Linked DNA regions of Coturnix japonica. The protein of the gene in region 1 purifies or fractionates together with the protein of each later gene. This does not show direct contact. Links are inferred from orthologs where the notes say so. Each region holds a gene or a part of one and is shown in the gene's direction. Other genes may lie near its edges. The genes, in order: SUGT1 and NOD1.

Region 1 (3,911 bases):
ATACTTCCCAGCTAAATCATATTCATCAACACCACATCCAAACATTTCTTGAACACTCCCATGGTCGGTGACTCTACCACCTCCCTGGGCAGTGCATTCCAGTGCCCGACTACCCTGAGAAGTAATACTTCCTAATGTCCAGCCTGAATCTCCCCTGGCGCAGCTTAAACCATTCCCTCTAGTTCTATCACTGATTACAGGAGAGAAGAGGACAACCCCCAGCTCACTACAACCTCCCTTCAGGAAGTTATAGGGAGCTATAAGGTCTCCCCTGAGCCTCCTCTTCTCCAGGCTGAATAATCCCAGCTCCCTCAGCCGCTCCTCGTAAGGCCTGTGCTCCAGACCCCTCAACCAACAACTCCTCCTTTTCTATCACTTCCTAATATGTTATAAACAGCCCCATGTTTCATTGTGATCTTGGGATGTCGTGTAGCTCAGAGAGGTGTTCAAGACCAGGTTGGACAGGACCCTGGGCAACCTGATCTAGTAAATGTGTATGCTTGGTGGCCCTGCCAGGCAGGGGGGTTGGAACTACATGATCCTTGAGGTCCCTTCCAACCCGGGTCATTCTGTGATTCTGTGAACCTCACTACTAATGTTCTGTCACTGGAGGTGGCAGCAGCTCAGTCTAGTTGAATGGAATGAATTAAAGCCATCTCACAAGCAGTTCTCAGCCACAGTTTGGCATCTAAGCAGCCTTGCTTTAGCTCACTGCATGGCTCCATGCCCTGCCCTTCCATGCTGTTATGTTTTGACCTGCAAACACCCACAGCTGTAATCCCATTTTCGGGAAGGGCTGGCCACCAGCTGGAGGTTTATCTGGCAGAGCTCTCCCTGCAGCTGGGCCGCGCTGGCACTGCTGCTGGTACATGAGTCAGCACTGTGTGATGTGAGGTACATCTCAAATGAGAACTTTCTATTTCAGACGGGGACAGGCAGCCATTTCCATCATGGCGGACACCCAGCGCATGCGCACCGCGCTTTCCGCCATCTTGCGCGCCGCTCTGTCCCGACAGTCCTCCACACACTCTATGGAAGGTTGCGTGCCTCCGTAGCGATGGCGTGGGCGGGAGGAGCTTGTGGCGCCGCTTGGTCCCGTCAGGCCACGCGCGGTGGTTGCGGCCTTGTGGCGGCTCCAGAAGTTTCCTGGGGGAGGGATGGCGGCGGCTGCAGAAGCAGCGGCTCGGTGAGCACCCAGCTCAACACCCCGCTCCTTCCTCCCTGCCCGCTCCTTCTTCATCCCCGCCTCCTCACGGCGTTGTGTTTCCTCGGCAGGTTCTCGGACGCGGACATCGATCGGGATCCGACGGCGGCGGCGCGGGTGAGAGCTGTGGGAGGGAGCTTATAGGGGGTCTTATAGGGGTGATGCCGCATCGCTGTGTGTAGGGGGTGGTTCGCTGTGCTGCCCTCTGTGTGTGGGGCCTGGCTGAGGTCTTGGGTTTGGTACAACTGGCTGCTCATTATCTGTGTTTTAACAGTGAACGGTGTGGGTCTGGGCAGGCTGGTCTACAGGCTGCAACCCTATGGCGGGGGGGGTTGAAACTGCATGATTTTTGAGGTCCTTTTCAACCCAGGCCGTTCTGTGATTCTATGATGATAAAGCCATAAGCTTGTGAGGTGAGGGTGACGGAGCACTGGAACAGGCTGCCCAGGGAGGTGGTGGAGTCTCCTTCTCTGGAGATATTCAAGACCCACCTGGACGCCTACCTGTGTGATGTGGTGTAGGGAGCCTGCTTTGGCAGGGGGTTGGACTCGATGATCTCTAGAGGTCCCTTCCAACCCCTACAATTGCCTGTCAGCTGCCCTGTGGCTGACTGTTCGAGTTGCTGTAATGTATGGTTTGTTTGGAGGAGTGTCTCAAAACAAAAGTTGTACTTCACTTCTCAGTGTTCCGTGATCCTGTTGGGTCTCCTCATGCTTCTCTTGTCTAGAATATCTGTCTACCACGAATGATGTCTGATCTTGAATGTATCCTTAATCATGTCTTTACAGTCAGATCTAGTGATGCTTTTTGTTGTAGCTCTTTCTGCCTCCTGTTTCTTCAGAGACCTCTGAGGTTTTAGATGTTTGTGCTGTACTTCTATGGAGTTTTGTACACCTGATGCTGCCACTGGAAGAAGCTGTTGTGGCCACGTAGTTCCTAGTGTAAGCATATAAATGAAAGAGAGCAGGATACCAATCTGAATTCAGACAGGCCCTGCTACTTTTCCTTTTTTCTCTGGCTTGGTGAGTTCTAGCAGCTGTGTTGTGCTAACATTTGTGCAGGCTTAAAGTCTATATCTTAGCTACCCTCATGCTTGCCAAATTCTGAATAGAAATTGAGCAAAGTTAGCAAACATGGTAACCGTACTGTTACTGTCTCACCCTCATAGCGAGGTATTTTTTTCCCTTCAGATGTGCTGAGAATTATAGGAAGGTTTTTGGAACATACAGGATTACCTGAGCATTCAGATTCCTATTTAAGGCATTGATGTTAGGGGGAAGTTCTTTTCTAGGAGATGTTAGCCTGGAAGACTGCAGGGAGGTTTGTGGATCCGTCCTTGGAGGTTCAGACAGGTTGAGCGCCCTGGCACCTTGTCTGTTAAAAGTTGTATGTTTGGTGGCCCTGCCAGGCGAGGGTTGGAAATATGTTCCTTGAGGTCCCTTCAACCGTTTCTGTGATTCTGTGATGTTCCCTTTCTGCAAGGAATAGCGTGTGTAACTGCAAGTTCTTATGCCTCAGTTGGCGTTAGCTTTCAGGTAAAACTGTCAATTAGGTCCTTCAGTGAGCTGGTCCAGGGTATTTTTTTTCTGACATCTTACTTGACAGAGTCCATTTTTAGATTATTGGGATCTTCCAAGGGTGCGGTTTCGGATTTCTTCACAGAGAACTGACAAGAGCTTTGGAAAGGAGTCCAGATGATGCCGAATATTACTGTCAACGAGCTTATGCCCACATTCTTCTACAGAACTACACTGTGAAACATCTTCAGGCAACTGACAATCCTCTTAAGAGGTCGTATTTGAAATTCTTTATAGTTTAGATGACTAGCTTTTAACAGTGTTGCTGTTAACTTTAGTTTGCTGTTTGCAGTTAGGATGTACTCGAGAGCCTTCCTTATCTTTGATTATTTTATATCTGCAAAACTTGCAGCCGAATCTGATGCTCTGCAATCCCAGTTGCTGTTTGAGTTTAGCACAGAACTGTCTTGGAACATTATTTTCAGGTTAGATTTTATGGTGATTTTAAGCTTTATGTTGTAAACTCTTCCAACCTTACATGCTCTTTTTGGTAGACACTGAAATCCAGTTGTGGTAGGAAGGTGATAACCTGCCACCCAGGTGTTATTTGGTTAACTGAATTAACATTTAGCCTAAATTGCCTGTCAACAATTAAGCAAAATAAGTAGATAAATCAGGCATCCTGGCTTGTATCAGGAATGTGGTGAAGCAGACTAGGGAAGTCATCCTGCCACTGGACTCGGCATTGTGGGCCTCACCTTGACGTACTGTGTTTCAGGGGGGCTTTGGGCACCTAGCACAGGAAGACATGAGGTGCAGGAGAGGTCCAGTAGGCAGCGAGGCTCCCGTGAAGGCTTGGAAAATCGACCTCAAGGAGAGGCTAAGGAGCTGGGCTGTTTAGTTGGGAAAAGGGCTGAGGGGAATTATCGCCTTATTCGTACCTTAAAGGTTTTAAGTGAAGAGTGGCAGGGTCTCTTCTCACTGGTGCAACGAGAGGGAAATGGCCATCAAGTTGCGCCAGGCATGTTTAGGTTGTGATTTAGGAGACTTCTGTACCCAGAAGTGTTAGGTACTGGAATTAGGCTCCCCAGGAGGTGGTTGACGCATCCCTGGATGTGTTTAGAGCCGTGTTTGGATGTGATGCTCAGGATATGATTTAGCAGAGGGTGTTTATGTTAGGGTGTGTTGAG
Region 2 (3,811 bases), on another chromosome or scaffold:
AAAATCACAGCTACAGCTCTGCTGTCAGTCCCAAAAGTCAGTTTGCTCTCGCTGACCACAAACCTTATGGTCTGTGTGACAGACCTGCATCAGGCTGCAGCCTGTGAACTGGTCTCACATATGTAAGTGGGAAGGGCTTATTCATTTGCAAAGTAAGTGAGCCTTTGAAACAGCTAAGTTCAGAGCTGGAAAGCTGAGACGTGAATCTTCCAAGATAGACATTATTATTTGGTATCGAGAAGGCCAAGCAACACTGGCTACTTTTTAAACCTTTGTGTCTGTTTGCTTCACAGTCTCGCATTCAATGGCATCACAACAGAGGGGGGCAAAAGCATTGCTGAAGCTTTGCAGCACAACAACTCCGTGAAAATATTCTGGTAATCAATGATGTGGGCTGCTTCTCCATCTCTTCCTTCTTCAGAGCAAGCTGCAACCTAGTTTTACTGCCTCCTTCTTTCCCTCGTGCCACCTCTGCACTTTTGCTACCAGCACGCTGTAAGATCACAGAATCATAAAGATCAGAATGGACCCCTGGAGATCATCTAGGTATATCCTTTGATGAGCAGTGGATTAGCTTTCCTGCTTGTAGGATCACTGGTACACCTTTGTTTCCATGGGAAGCTGGGTCTGTAGAATGGGCTCCTTACATTCCTGTAGGTTTTGATATGGTGGTATAGGACACCCCCTGTTTCCACTGAATGTGCTTAGGTGAGGCCAGGCCCAGCTTCACTGCTCTCCTGCTGTGACAGGGGAGCTGAGGACAGCTTGCATTCCTTAGTGCTGTTCACAGACGTCTGACAGGGTCCTGTTCAGCATTTCGAGTGTTCCTCCTCTGGCAGCAGAAGCAGTGTGCATGTGGGGTTCTGTGTGTCTGTATGTAACTTTAGGAAGATTGGTTGGGTTTTGACTGACGGGAGCAGAAGTCTCTTAGTGTCTCTGCAGACCTCTGCCTGAAAGCAATGATTTAATCCATCTGCCTCTGCTTTTGTTGTGTCCAGTAGTGAGCTGGAGCTTCACAGCTCCCCTTGTCCCTACATGCAGTTCTGGTTCATGCTTATTTCTACTCCCTCCATCTTACTTTCCCCATCATTCACAGTTTGTGTATCCCTTTAGTGCTGCATCTGCCTTTCCATCTTTTTCCAGTGCAGTTCACGCAGCTTTCAGTTACTCAAACATTATGAGAAAACCACGTTAGATAGATCAGTGCTCTGAGAAATTAAGCTCTGGCATTCTTGTTGCCTTTTTGACTCCAGGGCTTCTCTTTAGCATGTCTGTGTGTCCAGACTTCAGAGGTTGCTCAGGGCAGAAACAGCACACACCACTTTGGCTTTCTAAAATGAAGTCACCGACGAGCTGGAAAAACAGGAAACTGAAAAATAACGATAGCATCTTAAGTCAACGTTTTCTCTCCTACCTAGGCTGACAAAAAATGAGCTGGATGATGAGGCAGCAATGAGTTTTGCAGAGATGCTGAAGATCAACAAGAAATTGGTGCATTTATGGTAAGTTACATTCCACAGAGGCACAGTCTCTTTGGCAGTAACCGCATTAAAGCTTCACCTTCCAAGTCTATGTAGGTCACAGTACACTCTCTGTGCATGGTCTGGATGCAGCTGACTGGTTGTAGACAGCTTTAATGGAAAGTTAATAAAGCTGCTGTCTAGTGCTTTGAACCTGCTTTCTTACAGGGCAAACTTTAAGCTGGCCGTGCGTCCTGGTAACTTTTGAACTGCACAGCTGCCTTTGTTTTTCTGGGGCAGCTCATTACTGGCCTAAAATGTAAATTTCAGAGAAATACTAGCAGATATCTAGCATAAAGTAATGTTATGATTCCTACTGTGTGTCATCATGCTGTGAAAGTGGCAAGCTCATTTGGTATCCTTCAGTCAAGAACCTACACTGAACACTTCTGTTGCCATTTGCCCGGTGCTTTCTTCTGTGGCACTTTGACTGACACTGGATGCTTAGCTGTGAGACGCCAATCTCCGCAAAAGCAGATTCTTGTTTCAAGCAATCACAAGGATACTTGTTAAACTGCTGGGAAACCACAGCCCTGGAAGCTCTAATCCAGAGGTTCACAATAATTTGCCTGTGAATGGGGTTGGGCAGATGTGGGCTGTGAAACAAACAGCCATCCATTCATCCCAAGTGATTGAGAGAACATAATAAACAGAGTCCTTTTACAAGCTTGTACAAAACCTTTGCTAATCACACGTTAGTATTACTTGTGCTAATTGTAGTCTGTGCCCTTAGGAAAGTACTGACTATGTGAGAGCTGGGTACTTGTGGTCTCTTGTAAGCAGCAAAAGTTCTGGTGCCCATCACCCTGAAAATAAAAGGAGATGGGAAGAGCTTGATTTCTTCATGGGCAGCTGCAGATACGCTTCCCAGGGCAGTCTGTCTGTCTCAGAGAGCCCCAACACTGCAATCTCATACCAGCAGTAAAGAGCTCTCAGCAGAAATGTGTCAGCAGTGTCAGCTCAATATCTCCAGAATGCAGCCACACGCGAGCTTAGGAGGAAGCGAATGATACTCTGAGCTCTGCTTCTGAAAGTGCATCTGTAGGCATCTGACAAGCACTGTGTGCCCTCCTCAGAGATGGAAATCACAACTGTCTTCCTGTTGCAAACTGACAGCTTTGCTCCTTGACATCAAGCTGAGCTCATGTGGGCTTGTGCTATAAAATAGTTTGCGTGCTGGGCTGATATGAAGTGCTTTCTTTTTAGGCTTATCCAGAATCAAATTACAGCCAAAGGAGTGAAGTACCTCAGTGAAGCTCTCAAGGAGAACACAGCCATTAAAGAAGTCTGGTAAAGATCCTCTCCTCAAAGGCTCACTTTACTTTTTAAACTTTCTTTCCCTTTAAAACACGTGGCATTAACCTTCTAGCCTTAAAAAAACAAAAGCACAGAACAAGTTTCTGTAGGGCAGGGGCTGCAGTTCCAGCAAGCTTCAAAGAGGCAAAAAGCCTCTGTCACTGGAACACTTCCCTGCGTGTTATGATATCAAGGAGCTCTGTTAGTTCACGTCTGTCTAAACGCGCCGACTTGCAGAACGTGTGTTTCTGCAGAACTGGGCCCACAGCTGCAGTCAGGTTTTGCTTCTCGTGATTTATTTTCCAACTTCTTGACACGTTCGTGCCTCTCAGGAGCTGAATCCCAACAAGCAGGAGCTGGCTACATTTAATTAGCATTACTAATTTGGTTCATATTATTTGTGCTCGGATTTTCTTTGGGCGGTGCTCCAAGCGCACGAGAAGTGCTAAGCTCTGAGGAGATTAACTTTTTTTGTGAGATTTGCTTGTTTTAGATTAGGCAGGCAGCAGCCAGTCACGCATGTGCGCTGCAGGGCAGTGTGCCAAGCACCACATTCCTTCCCTCACCTCTGGGAGTTCAGGAGTCAATAGAGCGGTGCTGTTTTTTAGCGCTGCTGCTTCTGTATTATTGAACCTGAAATTTATGTTTTAAAATACGCGTTTGTTTTAATGAAAGGACGCTGAATTCCTGCTCAGAAAGACCGTGACTCACTTTATCTGACAGAGGGCTCCCCGGGGATGTGGAAGAAGCTTCTTTCAAAGGCCGCTGCCAGCTGCCAAAGAGGCTGCAATACCCACCTGAGAAATTCAGGGTTTTCAAAGCAAAGCCTGTCTTGTGGTTCTTGCTTGGCTTTTCAGGCATCCCTCACCATTCCATCGATTCTGTAGGTCGGTAGCATTTCTGAGAGCTGCATGTTTCAGGCTACTTATTTCCAGGGCTGTAAACATCGATCTGACCAGATTTGAGTATTTTGCCATAAGTCATCTCACGTTAAT

What was found.
Region 2: the proteins of SUGT1 (region 1) and NOD1 purify together in Homo sapiens (affinity purification with western blotting; 3 studies listed by BioGRID and IntAct, with this or other methods). This does not show direct contact. The link is inferred for Coturnix japonica from reciprocal best matches to the Homo sapiens genes SUGT1 and NOD1.

What each region holds. Positions count from the first base shown.
Region 1 is NC_029516.1:148,385,241-148,389,151, reverse strand, and holds the start of SUGT1 (protein SGT1 homolog), read left to right. Parts: upstream 1-1,056; 5' UTR 1,057-1,157; coding exon 1,158-1,186; intron 1,187-1,275; coding exon 1,276-1,321; intron 1,322-2,867; coding exon 2,868-2,957; intron 2,958-3,911. UniProt on the Homo sapiens protein: May play a role in ubiquitination and subsequent proteasomal degradation of target proteins.
Region 2 is NC_029517.1:37,981,113-37,984,923, forward strand, and holds part of NOD1 (nucleotide-binding oligomerization domain-containing protein 1), read left to right. Parts: intron 1-293; coding exon 294-377; exon of another isoform or gene 378-546; intron 547-1,418; coding exon 1,419-1,502; intron 1,503-2,726; coding exon 2,727-2,810; intron 2,811-3,811. UniProt on the Homo sapiens protein: Pattern recognition receptor (PRR) that detects bacterial peptidoglycan fragments and other danger signals and thus participates in both innate and adaptive immune responses.